Arabidopsis thaliana: one gene and its partners. The protein of the gene in region 3 interacts with the protein of the main gene of each other region in a pairwise test. Each region holds a gene or a part of one and is shown on either strand. Other genes may lie near its edges. The genes, in order: TRY, CPL3, BMY2 and DBP1.

Region 1 (5,241 bases), 3.2 Mb from region 3:
AATTACCCTGGATGAAAACGTATCGATCCAAAAAACCAGAACAACTCACAAATACGATAGAACAAAATAGAAGAAGAAGGAATTTCACACCTCATTCGATTCGAGTCTAAAAGAAATAAACTACATCGTCTCCTCATTTCTCATAACTCTATGACCTATTAAATGTTAGTCAAATATAAATTTACTTCATATGTTGTTTGTGGATGGGGCTACTCACTCATATATAGTCATGTAGTGAAGAAACCTTATCATCTTCTAAAATATCACGTTTTCCATCTTGTTAAAAACCGCAAATACTCATATGTTGCATAAGAGTGTAAGCGGTTAAGTGAATATACTCAATTCGTATATAACGCTTTTCCAACTGAAAGCAGCAGAAACATTCATTGGACCACCTTAAATGTTGTCAACAATGTTGTTAACCAATCAAAACATCTACAGTTCAACAAGTTTTATTATTTGATTCGAGCTTTTACTTTGTGGGGTTTAAATTAATATTTTAATGACCCAGGTTTAATAAAATATAAAATACTCCTATATACATGCATGTATGGGGGCACTCGTATAATATGTGTAATCATTCGATACGTTACAAATAAATATATGTTTATTTAGGCCTAAGAATGTTAGTTGAATTGATCTACCAACAGCTGCAACCATGTTTCAAATCGGTTCAATATTTCTTTTCTTTCTCTTATAACTTTCTTATTAACTACAAAAATATTCCTTAATAGCAGTTCTTTTACGAGTAATCTATCTTCTTTTCTTGTGTAATATCAAATTTATTGTTCAACCAAAAAGAATAATTTGTACAAGAGTTTTAATTTTAATTAAAGTGGAAAGAGAAATGGATAGTGATTGCTATTATGAAAAATCTTTCTAGGAGGCAACATGTCACATCTTTGTTGTTGTTGATATAATCAAATAATAGAAAAGGTAATCACATCTTTGTCCTTTTGTACCAGAATTTTAGACATTAGTTTAGCTATGCAAACCAATTTCGTTCTTTTAGCTCCAAACTAAAGACACATTTTCATTGATGCATTCTTCGATATCGAATTGATTTGTTTATCAAAAGTTTATGAAAATCATTTATATTGCTATATTGTATTTAAGCTTCGAGTAAAGAGATATTTTACCAACTAGGCTTCCTATTAAAAAAATTCCAAATCTATCACATAATACACAGTTTCTATGCAATGAGGATGATGCGATATACATCACATGACTCGCCTCACACGATGTCTTTCGCCGTAGACTACAGATTTCTTCCGTTTAATCTTTTATCCAATTATGAATTATCTGGTAGGGTACTTTATATTTTGAAAATCTCTTTCGTGAGAATATGATAGTAATTGTATACTTTCTTACAAAATTTATTGAGAAGCGTACTTTATATATGATGTTTCTCACTCGAATTAAATACGTTAGTTTAATGGGTCGATTCAGATTTATAATAGATTTAAATATTTCGAAGAAAACGCAAATCAGGGATTTTGGTTGTATCATGTGTGAGAGATTGAATTTCTCCAGAAGCACTCATTAAATCGCGTGTGTAAGGAGTTGCCATACAGCGTCGTATGTAATGTCTTAGTCACTGTTCTAGAATTAAAACATATGTCAAATGTAGAATTAAAAAACAGGGGTTAAAATGTTAAATTATTCGGAGAAGTGGAATTATTATATTAAAAACATTGTGTGATTTTGGGATAAAATCTGAATCATGTTTTTTATTGTGCCAAAAAATTTCTGTTTCAACCTCTTCGTGGAGATGAAAGAAAAGTCAATCGGGAATGAGACTTCTTGTATAACGAATGAAAATATGAACATGTTGATTAATGAATTAATTAACATACGTACTATATTAAGTGGGAATATTAGGTATAGGCCTTCGATTTTCCGTTTTGTTTGGTTTTTTCGATTTTAATAATATTTCTCTAAATTAAAATAAATTTTAGTTTGGTTTATTTAAAATATTAATAAAATAATATAAATAACTATCTAATTAATATATTAAAAAGTATTTTCTATATATATTGATATAAATATTATTCCCATGTTTTATATTGGGTGACGTTATCTTTTAAGTAAAGTTGTAAGATATCTAACTTATTCCTACATTATAATAACTATCAAAATAAAATAACTAATTGTAGTGACAATGATGACTATCAAAATATGTATGTGTTTTGGCTCAAACATAGCGTTTAATAACAAACACAATGGACAATTTTAATAAATTTGATCGATTAGATTTTGTTTCATTTTCATGCACTAGATTAAGGTTCGAATTAGATTCATTTTAGTGTATATAGTGAAACTAATTTGTTACTATATGGAAAAAAAAATAAGTTTATTTTTGGTTCAAGAATTTTTATTCGGTACGGTTTGGTGTGTATGTCCAACCCTGAAAAAAAAACTTGAAAAACTAATAACCTAATAACAACTAATTTTCTTAGAAATACAAATTGGACTTGAATACAAAAATGGAAAGAACAACAACAAATCAATAACTAAAACATCGTTGAACTTGCATCTGCCAAATAAAAATCAATAAATCCCATTATTCTAAAAAGATAGTAGGTTTAGAAAAATTGAATAAATGGAAAAAAAAAATTGTTAGGATCTACGAATGAGAACAAAGTTAGCCTTCAAAATACTTACAAATCCCAATAAAAGACTTCATCTCCATGTGTATTTGAGTGTCAACGACAAGTCTACACAAAGGGTAAGAGGTCAACAAGACCACACAACACTTCTTACTATTAGTTTTGCAAAGGCCGTTCGTTGGACATTTCCTTCTCTCTCCTCCCCTCTTCTTCTTCTTGTTCGCTCTATAAACTCTCATCTCTCACGTCTTTTTTTCCTTACATTCTCCAAACTCAAAATTTCATCACATTAATTTCTCTCTATTTTTCTTTTCTTACTTCAATAGTAATGGATAACACTGACCGTCGTCGCCGTCGTAAGCAACACAAAATCGCCCTCCATGACTCTGAAGGTACCTCTCTATTCTCTATATATTTTCTATTTCCTAAATCCAATTTTATTAAACATCTTGAAAATAAATTTAGTTCCTAGCTAGGATCATATTCTCTTTGTATATATTCGTTAAAACGAGGGATACGTTTAATTACTTCTAAATTAGTTACACCTCGTGCTGACTAAAAGACTTATCAAGATTAGTTTCTAGTTTTAACAAAAATTAATATCTTTTTAAAAAGTTTATATTTGTCTTTTTTTGTTAGTTTAATATTGTTTTGAGTTTAATTGGTTTAATATTGTTATTTGCAGAAGTGAGCAGTATCGAATGGGAGTTTATCAACATGACTGAACAAGAAGAAGATCTCATCTTTCGAATGTACAGACTTGTCGGTGATAGGTAACAATTTCTTCTTCTTCTACTTTTTCTAAGATTATCCCAGCATAAAATAAATTTTATATTTTAGACATGTCTAGCTAAAACAATTTAATATGCAGGTATATACAATTTTACATACGTTAATTTAAGCATATGTACTTTATAACATATGTACAGTGTACCATGTTGTAGGGGAAGCACATGGTGTCCACTAATTTTCTAAAAAAAGACATTTAATTAAAGCTATCACGTTCATTAAATTATATATGTACACACATATATATAGAGATAAAAATAAGAACCTAATTTACTATTCTTATCAGTACGTACTCATGTATATAAATGCTTGGCTGGCTCAAAAATGGAAATTTTTGAACTGACAAATTATATTTTATTATGAAAATATAAATGCTAATGCTTGGGATAAAAATGTTTTTTTTTTTCTTTTGAATTAGGTGGGATTTGATAGCAGGAAGAGTTCCTGGAAGACAACCAGAGGAGATAGAGAGATATTGGATAATGAGAAACAGTGAAGGCTTTGCTGATAAACGACGCCAGCTTCACTCATCTTCCCACAAACATACCAAGCCTCACCGTCCTCGCTTTTCTATCTATCCTTCCTAGTGTTTTTGTTTTTAAGCCAACGAAAAAAGAAAATAAAAAAATTATAATAGATGTATAGTAGTGGTTCTTGTTAGTTTGAAGAATTCATCATCTATTGTTTTCTTTTTGTTGTTATTTCATTTATAATTTTTATAGTATAGGTTTCATTTGGTAATCAACTTTAATCCATGCGGTTAGGTTTTTTTATTTTCTCGTCTACGACTTTTATATCCACAACTAGATTTTAATCCGCGGTATATCGCGGTATAATTTACTTTTTAAAGTTAATATATATTAAAACTTGCAAATTTTATTTTTATAAAATATTTTTATTTTACAGTTTATAATTGTTATTAAGTAACGCTATACAACGAATCCATGAGACAATTGTTAAAAAACTGAAGTTTTAACCCTTACTAAAACAGCATATTAATAATATTTTAAAAATTTATAAATATTGATTCAAATACATCCACCATATAACTCAATTCCAAAATAAAATCTGTTCTGTAATTTCTTTACCCATCCCGTGATTTATTTTTAAAGTAGTAATTTTAAAAATTTGAGAATTATTTATTACATATAAAAGTTTTACAAATTGTATCATTCTCTAATACATTTATATTTTATAGTTTAATTTTATATATAGTAACATTTTATATTTTATATTCTCTAATATATTTTATATTCTCTAATACATCAGTAATTAGAAAGTAAAAAAAATTGTGTATTAGATTTAGTCCTTTGAAAGAACTTATCAAGAGGAAACTGATCATTTGTGCAAAAATGGTTGGGTAATATTTTAACTAATGACAATAATTTTAAATAGTAAAAAAAAAAAAAGAAATACTCCATTAGTTATAGTTGACTAGTATATTTTGAAGAAACTACTTAAAAAAATTATTACAGAATTAATGACATAATGTATCTATACTTTAAAAAAAATGTAACTAAAATAAAAACCCCGATCCAATTCTAACCAAAAGTTATGAACACTTATTTTCACAATCACTTAAATATTAGGTGTTACATGCTTGCACTAGCTATATATATGTAGGACTATGAAGTATGAAGTATGAACTTAATTTTTCTATAAACGTTTTAAGAAATAAAGAATCTATATATAGTATTGCCTTTCATACAAAAAATTATCAGTTTGAAAACTTTCTACCAACACGATAAAAAGTACTATATGAGATCATCCTAAACGTCTATTTAAAAAACGTGATTCTCATTGGTAAACGACTAATGAACGGACGGTTTGCGTCTAAAACTAA
Region 2 (4,181 bases), on a different chromosome or scaffold from region 3:
TTAAAGGGGATCAGAAGCTGTGTGAGGGGTGTATTGGACGAAATAAAAGTTGTGGGGAAATTTCCAAATATCTTGTGATTACTGGATCTTGTGGGATAGATCTCTTTCTTTCTCTTATTCTGGATTCCCTATACATAACAAAAAGGTTAAATGGGGTAATGAAAAGTGTGACATATACTTAGCATAAACCAATGTGTAGAATAATCCATGTTTCCTTTATTAAGTGCTATGCGTTAATCGGCATCTATAAAGTGTTGCATTGATGAACAAAGTGGATGCCTAAACTAGACGTTTAACTAAATGTTTAGAATGAAATCTTCATCTCATCTAAAAAGTGTTGCATTGATGTAAAAAGTGGATGCCCATTAGTTCTTGGCTTTGAAATGTTTTTAGAATGAAATCTTCATCAATCTCCATATGTGGTTCAATCCACTCATTTTATCTTTTGTTAAAGATGTTCTTCAGGCCAATATAATGATGACCATGGATGGTTTGCAACTCGCATATAACACTTCTTTATCCGATGGTTACAAGTATTACATGGCTATAGATAGCTTTTGCATGCAACAAATTATCTATCAAAGTTTATGCATCCTCTAAAATATGGTCATTGGCAAGCCACTAAACGTATATATTGTGACAATGTATGATGATATATTTTTATGTGTTGACTCCGTTTTTCATTAAGTAATGAAACATGTTGCTCTAGATTACCATTTTAATCGCAAACATATATGTTGCTCTACCACGCATTGCATCAAATGATAAGCTTGAGGACGCTTCGACAAAAACATATTTCTCCTTCTTCTTACTGAACCAAATGACAATTGACAAACCCCATTAATAAAATCGGTTAGTGTTAATGTGTCACTCATAATATTAACTTAGTAAAGAACAAGACCACATTAATTAAATCAGGTGTTAGTCTGAGAATATACGTTTCTCTTCCTCATTCCAAACTTAAATTCGGAATTTACTGAGAATATATTGTTAGCACTGAAAAAGGTTAAGTTGAAAGTTTGCTAGGGATGGCAATTAAATATAGTCTTGCCTTGGGGATATTCCCTTCGTGGACTTGTAAGTTTATTTATAGGTCCTCTTATGTATATATAGATGATCTAACGATCGATATACTATGAAAAAAGTTGTTACTAGATTTTATTGCAGGTAATAGTGTTGAATAACCCGAACCAATAAAGCAGTTGTAACGAACACACGACACGTTGCTTACTGCGAGGACCACTTTGTTTTTTGTTTTTTTTGGCTTTAAGCCAATTTAGGACCAAATTTGCATGATTGAGGATGCAAGTATCCAACCCATTTTCATCTTTCGTAGTGACACTCATTTACTTTTGTGATGGACACGTTATAGTATATCTTAAATATTAAAGAGACATGATTGGGGGATCATTGTTTTAATTTAAATAATGTAGATTCTATTCTTTTCATGGTATTAATCCAATTTATAGAAAGTTATGTGTTATTAGCAATTAAGCTAAATGATGAAAACAATCAGTTTAGTGAAACAAACTCGCCGAGAAAACATGAATGGTTGAAAATATTATTGTGTTTTACAAACGTACACGAGGACAATAGTTTTGTAAGTTTTTCTTAGGCATTGAAAAATGTTTGATACAAAAAGTAATGTTAAAATAATTAAAAATGATTTTGTCTTAATATATCCAAAATTTCAATCTATTATGAACAAAGGGAGTATAATTTCTGATTGAATGAACTGGAATAGCAATCAGAAAAGCTTTGAAAACAATTGTTGTTGATTATTAATGATCTTAATTAACGGCATGTATCAATATTTATACAACTTATGTTCCAGTCCAAGCCATCACAACGGAGTAAATGAAGTCACGGGTACTTGTGGTTTTTATTGGTTGCAAACTTGCAACTTGCAAAGATAGCTAACAATAATTAATATAATTAATGAGAACAAAACCAATTTAGTAAATTAAAATCCTTTAACATAGAAACCGACCAAACCCGTTGGACCGTTGGTTACTTGATTTGGTTAGTTGCTATAAATAGAAATGATGGTTCGTGTGCAACCTTCAAAATACGACCACTCTCTCAGAGTACTCTCTTAGTTTCTTTCTTCTTCTTCTTTGTAATACGGTGCCGTTTGACATGGATAACCATCGCAGGACTAAGCAACCCAAGACCAACTCCATCGTTACTTCTTCTTCTGAAGGTAAGCTGAAAACTTAAACACCTTCGTTTTCTCATTTTTCCATGTTTTTTTATACTTATCTATATATAATGAGAAATCTGAATTTTGGTGATGACAAGGAACAGAAGTGAGTAGTCTTGAGTGGGAAGTTGTGAACATGAGTCAAGAAGAAGAAGATTTGGTCTCTCGAATGCATAAGCTTGTCGGTGACAGGTTTGATCTTTTAACTAATAATGAATACTATTTCGTAGGAAAATAATTTAATTGTAACACCATAGTAAAAGCTGAATTTTGTGTGTTATTATTTGATGAAAGGTGGGAACTGATAGCTGGGAGGATCCCAGGAAGAACCGCTGGAGAAATTGAGAGGTTTTGGGTCATGAAAAATTGAAAAGTGATCAATATATCTCTATAGTTTCACTGATTGTTTCGATTATATTCCGTTGTATTTTAAATTTACCAACTCTGTTATAAGAAGAAAACTTTCTTAAATCCCAAACCATTTAACTCTCAAGAACCATTTATTGTGTGGGCTACGAATATTTGGGCCTTCCAAGCCTAAATTTATTTTTTTGCCATCCTAGTAATTTCTAGAAGCTAAGTCGTAGATGTTGTACGTGGATATTTCATTAATTTCTGCTTAAAGCCTTAAACACTTGACACATGAAAGTGGCAAATAACCTACTTCAAAACAAAACAAAAGTGGAAGTCGTTTTACAAGTCATAAAATGACATGCTGTCTTCAGGTCCCACACATGTTTTCTGTATATTTGTCGTTAACGCTATTTCACCTACTCCACACACACACACTTATTTTCTTGGTCATCCACGTTTTAGACTTTTAGTTTTTCCTTAATCTCTGATCCATAACCACGAAACGGACGATCTTCAATAAAAACCCATAACGTATCTCATTACCAAACAAACATATTGTTGAAATCTATGTGTCTCACTGATGATCTATATATGTAACTCTTGAGATTGCAACAAATGTTTAGAACTTGAACAAACTGTTATTTTTATAAGCCATATATATATTTAACTATTGACGATAGACAATTGATGATTCTCTTGAACAATATTTAACTATATATGCAACATCTTCTTCTAAGCTGATCTTAATTGCAACATCTTCTACGAATTAATCAAAAGCCAAAAACATATACAAATAAAAGTTGAGACAAACGAAGCAAAGAAAAGTAGAACATACATATACATACAGAAACACATTTGCACAAATCCCACCGTTGATTATACAAATCATATTAGAACATCAAATATTTAGTGGTTGCCATTTTGCTCTAACTCTTTTTTGTGGGCTTTCCACTTTAAGGCCACAAGACTAAGTGCTTTTGTCGAAGTCCCATCATCCTTCAACACCCTACAAGCTGCTTCCTTCAACTCCTTCATCTTGTTCCTCACTCCTTTGCCTTCTTCACCTTCCATCAATCCTTTTACCACTCTAGCCACCTCTTCTCTTCTAACTAACCCATCGTCCCCGGCACGCGGCCTAAGTGCCGCACGAATATCTTCACTCAACAAAACCGCATTCATCTTCTGTTCTGCGTATAATGGCCATGCTATAAGTGGAATACCGCTTACTACACTCTCTAGAGTCGAATTCCATCCACAATGAGTTAAAAATCCTCCCGTGGATGGATGCGCCAAGACTTGGGCTTGTGGAGCCCAAAAAGGGATCACAAAACCTCTTTTTTTAGTCCGCTCTAAAAATCCCGGTGGTAAAAATGTCAATGGATCTGTTTGGCTATGTGAATCAAAATACGACGAATTAGCGATCCCACTAGGACTTCGTATGACCCAAAGAAACCGTTGCTCACTATCTGCAAGACCAAGAGCAAGCTCATTGAGCTGCTCACATGTGAGGGTACCGCCACTACCAAAGGACACATATAAAACCGAACCGAGCGGCTGGTTATCCAACCACTTTAAACATTCAGACTCTTCGGTTTGCTTAGCCTCTTGCTTACCAATGTTAACC
Region 3 (6,725 bases):
TCTCCCTGATGTGGCGAGGGACGGAATGCGAAATCAGAGAGTGAAGATCGGCGAAGAACTCTATCACGGAGTCTTCCAACACTCAGAGTTCTACTAAATCTAACATTGCGCTCAATAGAAGGTTCTCGTACAACATGTCTTCTATCAAGAAGTCCAGCATAAGTACTATCCATACCATTAACTACTCTCGGAGAACGTAAGCTACCATCTTCCCCAAATCTCATGGCATCAATATCTCTAACTACATTGTCAATCACAGGAATTCTCGGAGACTCAACTCTATCATTGAGCCTAATAGCAGATTCTGAAGGTGAAGTAACACCATCTTCTCTATGAGAAGAAGAGACTGGATAAGTCGTGTTGAAGGATCTTGAACTTGAAGCTCTGCTAAGTCTAGAGCTTATGTTACCAGGAATGAATTTGAAATGCGAAAAAACTCGACCTGGAGTAGAAGATTCTTGAATCGAACCGCTAACATTTCTCATCTGTACATTGCTTACACTAGCTTCCTCTTCTTCTTCTTCAACACCACACTCATCATCAAGCTCAAGCTCATCACAATGTCTTTCGTTTTCAGATTTCTTATCATCTTTCAATTCTTTATCATAGCAATCTGATGCATCTCTTCTCGATTCCATTCTACGCCGTGTAACACTTCCATGACTCTTCCTCATCCATCCATTACACACCTGAAGAAATCAAAACTCATGAACTTGACCTAATTTCAGATTTGACCAAAATAAATTAAATATCAAAACCAGACCTGTTCATCATTATCATCATCACTGTAATGAGAAGTAGAAGATGAAGCAAGACAAGAAGAGTGAAGACCACAAAAAAGACTCTTTGATCTTCTTCTCCTTCCACCACCACTAGAAGACGACGGAGGAGGTTGAGCCACGTCAGAAGCTTCTCTCGCCATCGCCGACGAGCCTAGACATGATTTGCTCCGGCCAGATCCCATCTTCTTCTCAAAAGCAAACAACTTTCTGCTAAAATTACATCATTGACACAAGACCCACAAGTCTTTTCCCCATCTTCTTCAAATCCACCAATCGAAGAAACCTCCAAGTCAAAATCTAAAGATCGAAACTTTTTCCTCAGATCTTTACATTGAAACCCGAATTCGTCATTGACAATGCAGAATCAAAAGCCCTAATTATTGAATCCCCAGATCTGAAACTCGATCGAGATTGCAAGAATACCTCGAAATCTGAACTTTTTTTATTGCGAGAAATTAATGTAGGAACTAAGCTATGTGTGTTGTCTTTGAATCAAAGAGAAATGCTTTGAAGAAAAGGAAAGATTTTTAGGTGATCGGAGTAATCGAAGAAGGAGACAAAGCACCTATCTGCGATAGAGAGAGAGACTTTTACGGGAAGAGTGTGTCTTGATGTTCGAACGAGAGGGAACAAAAAACCAAACTCACCATTTCTTTATTTTTCTTTCTTTTCTTTTTCAAACTATTATAACATTCTTTTGTTTTCGTTCGATTTTTTAATCTTTTTTGCAATCATAATTGGACTTCATTGAGGACTATAATTGAGAAAAAAGCTTTGAAATGGTCATTGAACAGTGATCACTTAGATGAAAAATAGTTGTAACCAAACCAAACTAGAATATTCAAACTATACTCAAAACTGAAATTTTGTTGACAAAGCCTTTTGGTTTTATAAATTGCGAAGCAGAAATACAAAATCGAACCAAAATCGAACCAAAATCGAATCTATATTCTCAAAAATTAAAATATAATTGAACTACACTAACTTCAAAGAAAGAAAGAAAAAAGATATATTAAAAATAGAAAAAAAAAATGAGTTGAAAAAAGTAAATCACAATAAACTAAAATATACAAATCATTTTTTTTTATGAAGTGATTGTTTTCAGTATTTTACAATTTAGATATAGTGGCATTCTAGCTTCAGAAGATTTTTGTTGGACCGGCCCTGTAAAGTCGATTTAAAGACCAAACAAAAACTAATTTTAACATGATAAAATCGAATCAAATAAACGGAAATTCATTAACATTTTATTTATAATTATAATGTTAATTTTACTAAAACCTACCTAAAATAAAAACCTGAGTCAAAATATGTAAACTAATTTTAACATGATTTTGGTTTGATTTACTAAACCAAAATCAAATCAAAAGACAAATTATGTATTTATGTTATTCAGTTTTTCTTTTCTAAACTAATAAAACCATGAAAAAAAGGATTGGAAACAAAACCGTAAAACCCATCGTGTCATTCCTAACAAACCCATCAGTAATTCAGTATCACTTTGTCAAAACTGGTCACATTGGCTATTGTTGAACAAAAAAAAAAGAGAGGTTTTTGACCAAAAAAAAAAAAAAAAAAGGAGGGGTTAATATTGACGATTTTGATAATGAGAGACTTTTAACGTAATTTATAATAATTACCGACGTTGATTTGTAAATCCATAAAGTTACAAAAAAATCTCAAATGTGGGAACAGCACAGAAGCGAGCAACTTCACCGCACAAAAATGCATACTCTCAACAACACCATCACCACCACCACCGGTTCGCAAGATCCGAATCTCGACCCAATTCCAGACCCGGATCAATTTCCCAACCGGAACCGCAACCAACCACAATCTCGCCGCCCTCGCGGATTCGCCGCTGCAGCAGCAGCAGCGTCGATAGCTCCAACGGAAAACGATGTAAACAACGGAAACATCGCCGGAATCGGCGGTGGAGAAGGAAGCAGCGGCGGCGGAGGAGGTGGAGGAGGGAAAGGGAAGAGAGAGAGGGAGAAGGAAAAAGAGAGAACGAAGCTTAGAGAAAGACATAGACGAGCAATCACTAGTAGAATGCTCGCCGGATTAAGACAGTACGGTAATTTTCCGTTACCGGCGCGTGCTGATATGAATGACGTAATCGCTGCTTTGGCTCGTGAAGCTGGTTGGAGTGTTGAAGCCGATGGTACTACTTATCGGCAATCACAGCAACCAAATCATGTGGTTCAAACTTCGAAACTCTCTCTCTCAAAATTCAAACTTTCATATTAAGCTATTTAAGTTAGGGTTTAGTGGAAAGATGATAAATTTGATCCCAAATATGTGTGAAGCTCTTAAAGTTATAAGCTTTGTTCTGTTATTAATGTAACATAGATTGTTTAATATTATTGGATTAGGTACAGTTTCCGACGAGATCTATTGAGAGTCCACTTTCTTCTAGTACATTGAAGAACTGTGCTAAGGCTGCAATTGAATCTCAGCAGCATTCAGTTCTTAGGAACGATGAGAAACTTGCTCCTGTGTCTCTTGATTCTATTGGTATTGCCGAGAGTGATCATCCCGGGAATGGAAGGTATACTAGTGTTAGTCCTATCACCTCCGTTGGATGCTTGGAAGCCAATCAGGTGAATGATAAATTCATTTCCTTATTAGGAGAATTGACTTTAAGCTGGACGTTGTTTCATCTAACCACTTTGTTTTTCTTTCAGCTTATACAAGATGTTCATTCCGCAGAGCAATGTAATGACTTCACAGAGAGCTTTTATGTCCCTGTGTACGCCATGCTTCCAGTGAGCTTCTGATGAGAGAACTTTGTGTTTTAAGTGTATATATATGGATGTTGCCCAATAAAAAAGAGTGTACATATATTTCTTACCAGTTTTGCCGCGATCCTTAGTTTTCCTGTGCTAAAGTTCTGTACCTTGTCTTTCAGGTTGGCATTATAGACAACTTTGGCCAGTTGGTTGATCCTGAAGGTGTAAGACAAGAATTAAGTTACATGAAGTCATTAAATGTCGATGGAGTAGTAATAGATTGTTGGTGGGGAATAGTTGAAGGATGGAACCCTCAGAAATATGTATGGTCTGGCTATAGGGAGCTCTTTAACCTTATCAGAGACTTCAAACTTAAGCTACAGGTGTGAATATTTTTACTTGTAGAGCTTTGTTAAATACATCCTATGTGACCAAACTGTGACTTTCCCTATAAAGGACCGTCTTTTTCATAATATCTTAGCAATCAGTATATGGTTTGTTTGAAGGTGGTGATGGCATTTCATGAGTATGGAGGGAATGCATCTGGGAATGTGATGATTTCGTTGCCACAGTGGGTGTTGAAGATTGGGAAAGACAATCCAGACATTTTTTTCACTGATCGTGAAGGAAGAAGAAGTTTCGAGTGTTTGAATTGGAGCATTGACAAGGAACGGGTATTGCATGGACGAACTGGTATAGAGGTACTCAAAGAACACTCATTGCTCAGAAATTGTTCAGTATTTTGGTATATTATGTCTCATTTCCTCCTCTTTTGTACTGTCTAGATTCTTATTTCTTCCTTTTCAACACTTGATTATCCAGGTCTATTTTGATTTTATGAGAAGCTTCCGGTCAGAGTTTGATGACTTGTTTGTGGAAGGACTAATTACTGCGGTTGAGATTGGTCTTGGAGCTTCTGGTGAACTAAAGTACCCATCTTTCCCAGAAAGGATGGGTTGGATTTATCCCGGTATCGGTGAGTTTCAGGTATTTTTCAGATTGCTGAACTTTACTTCTACGTTCTAACTTATGACTAGTGAAGTTAACATATCAATTTACTATTTTTCCTATTGCAGTGTTATGACAAATATTCGCAATTGAGTCTGCAAAAGGAAGCAAAGTCACGAGGATTCACTTTCTGGGGTAAAGGACCAGAGAATGCTGGTCAATACAGTTCTCATCCACATGAAACTGTGTTCTTCCAAGAAAGAGGTGAATATGACAGCTATTATGGCCGCTTCTTCTTAAATTGGTACTCACAATTGCTAATTGGTCATGCTGAGAATGTTCTGTCTCTTGCAAATCTCGCATTTGAGGAGACGAAGATTATTGTCAAGGTATAATCCTTTTGGCACTTATCCTTCAAACCCAGTGATGCCTATAACAATGAGACTCATACACCAAAAACAACAATGCAGATACCGGCAATATACTGGTCATACAAGACAGCTAGTCATGCTGCTGAATTAACTGCAGGATACTACAACCCTTCAAACCGTGATGGGTACTCTCTTGTTTTCGAAACTCTGAAGAAATATTCCGTGACTGTGAAGTTTGTGTGCCCTGGGCCACAAATGTCTCCCAATGCGCATGAAGAAGCATTAGCTGATCCAGAAGGTTTAAGTTGGCAGGTAATGACACTTTTTATTGATGACTATAGCTTTTTTTACTTCTCAGCAAATGTAATCTTAACCCTAAAGTTTTGGTTATTTGTGGCAGGTGATCAACGCAGCTTGGGATAAGGGACTTCAAATCGGTGGAGAGAATGCGATTACTTGTTTCGACAGAGATGGTTGTATGAGATTAATCGATATAGCTAAACCAAGAAACCATCCAGATGGCTATCACTTCTCCTTCTTCACATATCGTCAACCTTCTCCTCTGGTTCAAGGATCTACTTGCTTTCCAGATTTGGACTACTTCATTAAACGCATGCATGGTAAGATTTACCCGCACGCTTGATTGTGCCTTCCCTTTAGATTCGTTGTCAAAATCTTTGTTCTTACAACTATATTTGTTTCTTTGCAGGCGACATAAGAGATAAACAGTTTTAGGATTTGCATGGTCTTAGGATTCTTTTAGTAAGTGTCTTTTGTTTAAAACTTCAAAATCTGTTTTGTTTTGTTTATTCTCTCCTCAAGGCCTATATTTAAGACGATTGATCTTGTAATCTTTAAACACCTTAACACTTCACTAGTTGAAGATGAACTAACTAATTAAATTCTTAAATGCATTCTAATCCGACTCGCGTAAAGTAGACACTTGTTTAGTTTTATTTTGAAAAATACAAGAAGGTATTGATGTCTAATGAATACAACCGAAAAGTGTTGCCTAACTCTTATACCTTTTTGTCTAAATTATTCTTAGAATAACCTTTTTGACTATATATGCCCGAATCCGATTACATTAATGGTATTAATAATTTTTGTTCAAAGTTACATTTTTCTTTTGTATCATTCAAATAATATTCTGATAAAATCCTGATTTTTCATGATTGTATTTGACATTTTAGATCCAACCAAATCTTTGAAGAACAAATAAAGAGGGGAAAAAAAGACCAACATGTCCTTTTGCATTCAGTGTTAATTCATGGACAATATAATGTTGGTCCGTACGAAAATTTGATTTTGTATCTAAAGAAGCATAAGAAATAGGGTTAGTTAACCACAACGAACAAAGCCTCTATTATACATATCTAAATGTGGGATAATGAGGCAAAATGTCCAATATGATTAATGAAAAAGATGGAAAAAAAGTCTTAGGTGGTGTGTGATTTAAACTGTGTTTTAATTACTTTAAATGATATGAAAAATCTGTTATTATTTAATCAAGATTCTATTAAATTCTGTTAAAGTTTTTTTTTTAGTAGTAGAGGGGAAACAACCGTCTCCCGCAATTTATTGAAACTGAAAAGAAATTACAAAACGGTAGGCGGGTGAGCCTCGGAAACGCAGTTCCTCGGACATCCTCCCTTACAATCTCCTCCACCAATGAGGGAGCTAAATCAAACTAATGAATACCTAAAGATAGATTAAAAGCATAGTTCGCTAACCCGTCTGCAAGGCTGTTAGCCTCCCTATATACATACGGTTAGCTTCTCTGTTTTAGTTTGATGTTATTAGTTTTTGATTTATTAAAAAATCTTTAAAACTCTTAATAAATTTGGATTTATTGGAATTATATTTTAAAGTCATTGAAAATTTTGTGTTAT
Region 4 (6,038 bases), on a different chromosome or scaffold from region 3:
ATTCTTGGAAGTGATTCGAGGAGCTTCAATGGCGGCACCGATCAAACTACTTCCGGTAATGTAAATTCCCCTAAACCATAAAGAGAGAGAGCAAAATAGTTTTCGTAAGCATGATGATTTCGCAAATCAATGGGGAGAAGAAGAAAAGGATTTATACCAGGCAGCACCAAGAACAGAGACGCCGATGGAGATGGCGATTCCGATGGCGGAGAAAGTGTACGGGGAGATTCTCACCAGAGCCGCGCCCCATGAACTCGCATGAATAGCCACACCGGACATTTTCTCTCTATCTCTTTGATATGAATGAATTTGATTTGTCTCTTTCTCTGTCTTTCGGAGGAGGAGATGATTAACAGAGCCTGTGCGATCTGAAATTGAGCAACTCCAAATCACGCGCTGATGAATGCGCGTGAATTCAATTACCATCGTATAGGCCTCGTAAGCGATACGAATAGCCCACTTTGATCGGACTATTGGGCCTTGTTCCTCATTTGAATATCCGGGACAATCTCGTTGTTCAGAGTTTCACGATAAAATAGTAACTGACGATGGCTCACTCAGCCTCATCACTAGACTGACTTTTCCAGCATCCGCAAACCGATAAGTGGCGATGTGGTCAAAGCCGACCCTCGAGTTTACTGCATATCTAACATACGTCATTCTGCAAGAACACAACATATTCGGTAAACGCAGGAATTGGAATAACTTTCTAGTTACAAAACAAATGAGACTGAAGCAGAATTATTATTATGCAAAAGTGACAAAAAAATATATCCTACCAAACAATAAATTATTGTATGCCGCCTCATGTTATAACTTACTCAAATTGCGAGAATTTAACAGAACAAAACCTCCAAACCCCAAACTATAAAATTGTAAGAAAAGACAAAACAAAAACAGAGAAATCAATCATTCGTCACCATCCTCATGTCCCCCAATTAGTTTCCCAAGCCATCCAAGTAGCTCTGTAAATCTTTTAAACCCTCCGCCGAGAAGCTTCTGTGAACTCTCAACCTCGGCGCTACCAAGTTCGGTGGTGGCTGTGGCTGAAGACACACAACCACTGCCGTCACATTATCAGCACTCTTCCTCTTCAAAGCTTCCTCAACCAGCTCCTTACTACACATGACCGGGTCATTGTGCTCCTGTAGTCTCCTTCTGGCAAAATCTACAGCATTCTGGCTCATGAACACATCCCAAACCCCGTCACACCCAATTATAAGGAACTCATCCTCTTCTGTTAGTTTTGTTGTCATGAGCTCAGGCTCTGCAATTAGAGGTCCACAATCAGAACCATCTTTCTTCTTCTTCATGCCTTCCATATGAAAGTCACCTAGCGCTCGAGCCACATTAAGTTGTCCATTTAGATAGCCATCGAATACATGTCCACCCGATGCTTCAATGCGTCTCCTTTCCTTACTGCTCATGGGTTTGTGGTCTCTTGACATTTCAATGGCTTTTCCCTGACGGGATAAGACTGCTCTGCAATCTCCAGCGTTTGCTACCACCAACGACCTGTTACCACAAAACTATATGTTAACACGGTACCAAACGGTTTCATACCAGAATACTAATAGAGTATGAAATGAGCAAGTATATACGTGACTCAAAGACCATATGAGACAATAACTACATTATAGCAGCAGCACATATGGGCAGAGAATACATCTACAGGCGAATTAGTTGTACATGATTGTGTTAAAGGTCAAGATTATGCACACTACGCAGTTGAGGATAAGCATCTATTCCCAAACACGTTTTTCTTTAACATAACCAAGATGTAAGAGTTTAGGTTAGACAAAACTAAAAGATAATAAGAGTTGAATCAACAAACCTTCCAAAAAGAATAGCTGCCAAAGCAGTAGTTCCTGAAGCAAGGCTCCCATCCAATGAACACGCCTCTAAGAAGGCAGTGTCTGTTTGAAGAAATGCTGAAGATAACACCTTATTGATTTCACTAGGAAACTCTTGATCTTCAACAATGTACCTCGGTATATGGTGACATGCAAACTCAGCGGCATGCTTCCCACCATGTCCATCAAATACCTAATAACAAACAAAATTCAATAAGAGATCCCCATATTTTCACTACATTCACAGTTGTTTGCTTATGCTACAAATCTACAAAAAATCAGGAAAACTGAAGAAAGAACATACCCCATAGAAGGCACTTGGACCAGCCTCAGAATTCAGAAGGCCAAAGCTATCCATGAAATTATCAACGCATAGATAAGCATCTTCCATGCTTGACCTGGAGCCAATATCAGACCAAGCTCCAGAACGCGTAGCAGGAACAAACTCAGACTTGTTCTTCTCTATAGTAAACTCATTCTCAACAGATATATCTGACACCATTGTCTTCACCTACCAAAATGAAAATCAATCAGAAAACCTCAAACATCTCATAATGACACATTAAAAACAGAAACTTTCTACCTTAATTATACACATTAGGAAACCAATAATGATCAAATCCAAAAGCAGAGCAATAATTACAAAACCTCAACTTAAATTGATCATTCAATACACAAAATAAACCTAACTGATCCACAAATCAAGTTGAAGAGAAACGAATCTTACGAGAGATGAGTGTCGAACCAGTGACCTCTTATTACACGGCGCCAACGATCGCTCGCCGTCGAAGGTTTGCCTGTAAACGGCAGCAGCGGCGGAGGAAGAAGAGAAGGAGAGTGGATTCGGCGGTTTACCGCCGTAACTCGAACTCCCATTCTCTGGATCAGAAATTCCTCTAGTTTCTTCCATATTGAAACATCATCGTATAAAAATTCAATAAGCAATTATGGAAACAGCTGACGAGTCAACTCACGAGTGAGCGAGTCGATTAAAAACGATTTAACGAAGAATGTAGCTTTAGATGAGAGATTCGTAAACAATGGATTCAGAATCGAAAACAAAATTGAAGAGATTGTTGAAAGGTTACACGAATTTCAGGGTTTAAGAGAAAATTAGGGTTTTGTGGAAGAAATTGGAACACGCAGAAAGAGAGAGATAATAAAACTGTTCGCCGGCGGAGGCGAGAAATATGAGTCCGACGGTTATTTAAAAGGCAAAAAGAAAAAGGAAAAAGGAAAAAGGAAGCTTAACATAAACACGAAACGTCGGCGTATTATTTACTTTTTCTCTTTGCTTTTTTTTTTCCTTTTTGTTTTTGAAGTGAGAGATTTTTTTTCTTATTAAAAAAGGGATATATTTACAGTTTATATGAGAAGTAAACATAGTATTTTGAAAAATAGCAAGAAAGGAAATCTGAAATTTTAGACTAATAGCAAAAAGATTTTGAGTTAAGTTGACAAAATTGAATTTTAGTAACTTGGGACCTTTTTTACATCTTTTTTATATAAAAAAAGTCGACACATGAGATATTACTTATAAAATTAAAAATACATTATTTTCATGAATATTTAATAGAGTTTATGAATTTCTCACATATGTTAATTATTAAGTGCTGAAAAATGTTTAATTGTTTTTCTGTATAAATGTTAAGTACTGAAAAATGCTTGGAATGTTTTTCTATATTTATATCTCTGCTATTTATATGTGTGATTTAGTGTTATTTAGGGCATTAAATATAAGATATTAAAATATTAAATTTTTCTATAATTTAAAAATAAGTAAATAAACATGTTGTAGACCGTAATTGCCAGATTATTTGTGCTGTTTCCTAAATACTTTTACATTCTTTGATGGTCACCAAATTAACTATAAGAAAAATTAGGACTCAGTCTCATTAATTTTTCGGAAGAGAAAAAGAATCAGTCTCATGGTAGTTGTTAGGAAATATTTGAATATTGTTTCGCCATTAGAAACTTTTTATGTGGATTTTTTTCCTGAAAACGATGGTTACTATTAATTAAACGGACCGACAAGAACCTTGTTGACGTGGTAACAAGTGATGACACATGCTAATTGGCCATCATTGTCAAATAATTTGTTCGCAAGGCGTGATACGTGTACGTTGTTATTCAGACGTAGCAAACAGATTCACGACTTTTGTTCAATTTGTCTTTGTATGGAGTATGGACCTAACATCTCCAACGGACCAATGCTATTGGGTCAAGTCCATCTTTTCTAGGTTAAGTTCATTCTTTGGGCTTTAGTTAAGTATAGAGAAAGAACATATTGGAAGAAAAATTTAGATGTGGTTTGTATTGCATGCGCATATGAAATGTAATAATTTGAGGATACATATATAGTAAGAAAAAATGAGTGACCCAAGTAAGAATGGGTTAGTAGTTATATATATGTTGGAGGTGAAAGGAATAAAATAAAATTTGTTCTAGGTGGATTCTTAAGAAAAAGAAGGAAACGAAAACAGAGGAATAACAATGGCAGGGAGAATAAGCTGCTGTCTAAATCTTCCTCCCCTAGATTCAAATTCTGCACAATCATTAGCTTCACTGCTCAAGACAACGTCAAAGATCTCTTGGTATCTCTTCTATTCATGAAAAGTTATTATTTACCTGATAATTTTTCATATCAATGATCTTTGTTCTTTTATTGTTTAGTAGGAGAACAGAAAATGAGACAGAGCCACGGAAAAACAAGTGTTCTTTTGTCTTGGGGGTGGCGGCAACTGTCGTAATCGGCGGGATTCAGATCAATGATGTTGCATCAGTGGAAGCTGCGGTTGTGAAATCGCCGGTAGAAGAGATGGCTGCGGGTGTGGTGCCGCCGCGGAGGTGGAGTGACAAGAGGACGTGTCCGCCTTGGCTTGAGAACTCGCTAGAGACCATCGTACCGGAGAATCTTCCTCGTCCGTCTGCTCATCGACGTTTGGAGTTAGCCGGATTAGCTAAGGGTGATGCACCGCCGGTCGGTGTGGTGATGACACGTGTCAACAGGGGTGGTTGTTTCTCCGTGTAAATTGGAAGTTCATTACGTGTAAGGGAGATTGTTAGGCAGGTGTAAAAAAAGTCAATTAGAAACAAATAATACACACAAAAACTATTGTAGATATATTAAATTTTAAGTATTTGTTTGTGTAGTTACTGATGACAAAACATTGAACCAAACTGGTCTTTAATTCATGCAAAATTTTCTTTGAGGATGCCATTTTTGATTTTTGGTTTAAATCGAACCGTATAAAAATAATTAACTCATTAAATTCATTGAGATCTTTATGTGCACGATTAGTTTTGGTCCGTCCTTTTTTTCTTTGTTTTGTAATCTTGTATCCTACCAAATTTTGGGAGTTTTCAGCTTTGTGTGTTAAAGTAGTACTCTATTGGATGTGAAATGAAAGAAAAGTAGTACATGCGTGTAGTACAAAAGAAAAACACTCCAAGTACTTCCTACTGAAATGAGTTGGCCTATTATCGATCCAAAGTGAAGCCCAACTCTATGTCACTCCAACGATTAGTTTGATTTCGGCCTCGTATTTCAAAGTTTAACTACAACTCTACAAATTTCACTTCCATGTCGGACCTTCAATAATTTAATTTCTTGATGCTCATGTTCTTTGCTTTTACAAGAATGGTGAGAGAATAAAGGGAGATTAGCCTTAGCGAGAGAGAAAAGACTCGTAGCATGAAGAGAAGAAGAAGAAAAAATTGGTTTTGCAATAAGAGACCTACGTTAACAAGAAAATGGACACAGCTTGATCATCTTATGCAAATCCACACTCACGATTTTCTAAAACTAGTTTGAAACTTACAGAAAACATTTTTTTTTGTAAATTTCTTAGATATTTCAAATAACTCTCTCGAGACATAAATCATAAAGACGATAACTAGTTAAGATCATTGTGAATAGTTTATAATGGATTTAACAAAAAAAAGAATAGTTTATAATGGAGTCTTGAGAGAGTTATTTGAATTATTTTGGGAATTTACAAAATTGTTGGATAAAAAAAGTAGTTACAAGAAAAAGGAAAATATTTACAAGTGTGTTTCTAATTTTTTCCTACTAGAAAGACAACTAGATAAGATCATTTCAATAGTCTTCTATTCACTAATTATGGACAAGTAAAAATTAAAAGATTTGTTACACCATCTCTATCTTACATTTCTCTATTTATA

Evidence for each region.
Region 1: the proteins of BMY2 (region 3) and TRY interact in a two-hybrid assay, tested with the Arabidopsis thaliana proteins (one large-scale study listed by BioGRID).
Region 2: the proteins of BMY2 (region 3) and CPL3 interact in a two-hybrid assay, tested with the Arabidopsis thaliana proteins (one large-scale study listed by BioGRID).
Region 4: the proteins of BMY2 (region 3) and DBP1 interact in a two-hybrid assay, tested with the Arabidopsis thaliana proteins (one large-scale study listed by BioGRID).

Annotation. Positions count from the first base shown.
Region 1 is NC_003076.8:21,579,976-21,585,216, forward strand, and holds TRY (Homeodomain-like superfamily protein), read left to right. Parts: upstream 1-2,638; 5' UTR 2,639-2,937; coding exon 2,938-3,001; intron 3,002-3,294; coding exon 3,295-3,382; intron 3,383-3,816; coding exon 3,817-3,985; 3' UTR 3,986-4,268; downstream 4,269-5,241. UniProt on the Arabidopsis thaliana protein: Transcription factor. Involved in epidermal cell fate specification. Negative regulator of trichome development, including endoreplication, by lateral inhibition involving intercellular interactions.
Region 2 is NC_003075.7:458,395-462,575, forward strand, and holds CPL3 (CAPRICE-like MYB3), read left to right. Parts: upstream 1-2,084; 5' UTR 2,085-2,139; coding exon 2,140-2,203; intron 2,204-2,301; coding exon 2,302-2,395; intron 2,396-2,497; coding exon 2,498-2,573; 3' UTR 2,574-2,680; downstream 2,681-4,181. Other genes in the region: GT72B1 (UDP-Glycosyltransferase superfamily protein), read right to left, coding at 3,464-4,181. UniProt on the Arabidopsis thaliana protein: MYB-type transcription factor involved in epidermal cell fate specification. Acts as a negative regulator of trichome development, including endoreplication, by mediating lateral inhibition.
Region 3 is NC_003076.8:18,351,129-18,357,853, forward strand, and holds BMY2 (beta-amylase 2), read left to right. Parts: upstream 1-2,396; 5' UTR 2,397-2,465; coding exon 2,466-2,984; intron 2,985-3,157; coding exon 3,158-3,385; intron 3,386-3,469; coding exon 3,470-3,550; intron 3,551-3,693; coding exon 3,694-3,897; intron 3,898-4,020; coding exon 4,021-4,215; intron 4,216-4,336; coding exon 4,337-4,501; intron 4,502-4,590; coding exon 4,591-4,851; intron 4,852-4,932; coding exon 4,933-5,145; intron 5,146-5,233; coding exon 5,234-5,453; intron 5,454-5,542; coding exon 5,543-5,568; 3' UTR 5,569-5,760; downstream 5,761-6,725. Other genes in the region: AT5G45290 (RING/U-box superfamily protein), read right to left, coding at 1-689, 764-964.
Region 4 is NC_003071.7:10,902,216-10,908,253, forward strand, and holds DBP1 (DNA-binding protein phosphatase 1), read right to left. Parts: upstream 3,053-6,038; 5' UTR 2,764-3,052; coding exon 2,581-2,763; intron 2,365-2,580; coding exon 2,158-2,364; intron 2,047-2,157; coding exon 1,835-2,046; intron 1,516-1,834; coding exon 939-1,515; 3' UTR 780-938; exon of another isoform or gene 662-779; 3' UTR 501-661; downstream 1-500. Other genes in the region: AT2G25610 (ATPase, F0/V0 complex, subunit C protein), read right to left, coding at 1-70, 158-426; AT2G25625 (histone deacetylase-like protein), read left to right, coding at 4,347-4,447, 4,527-4,884.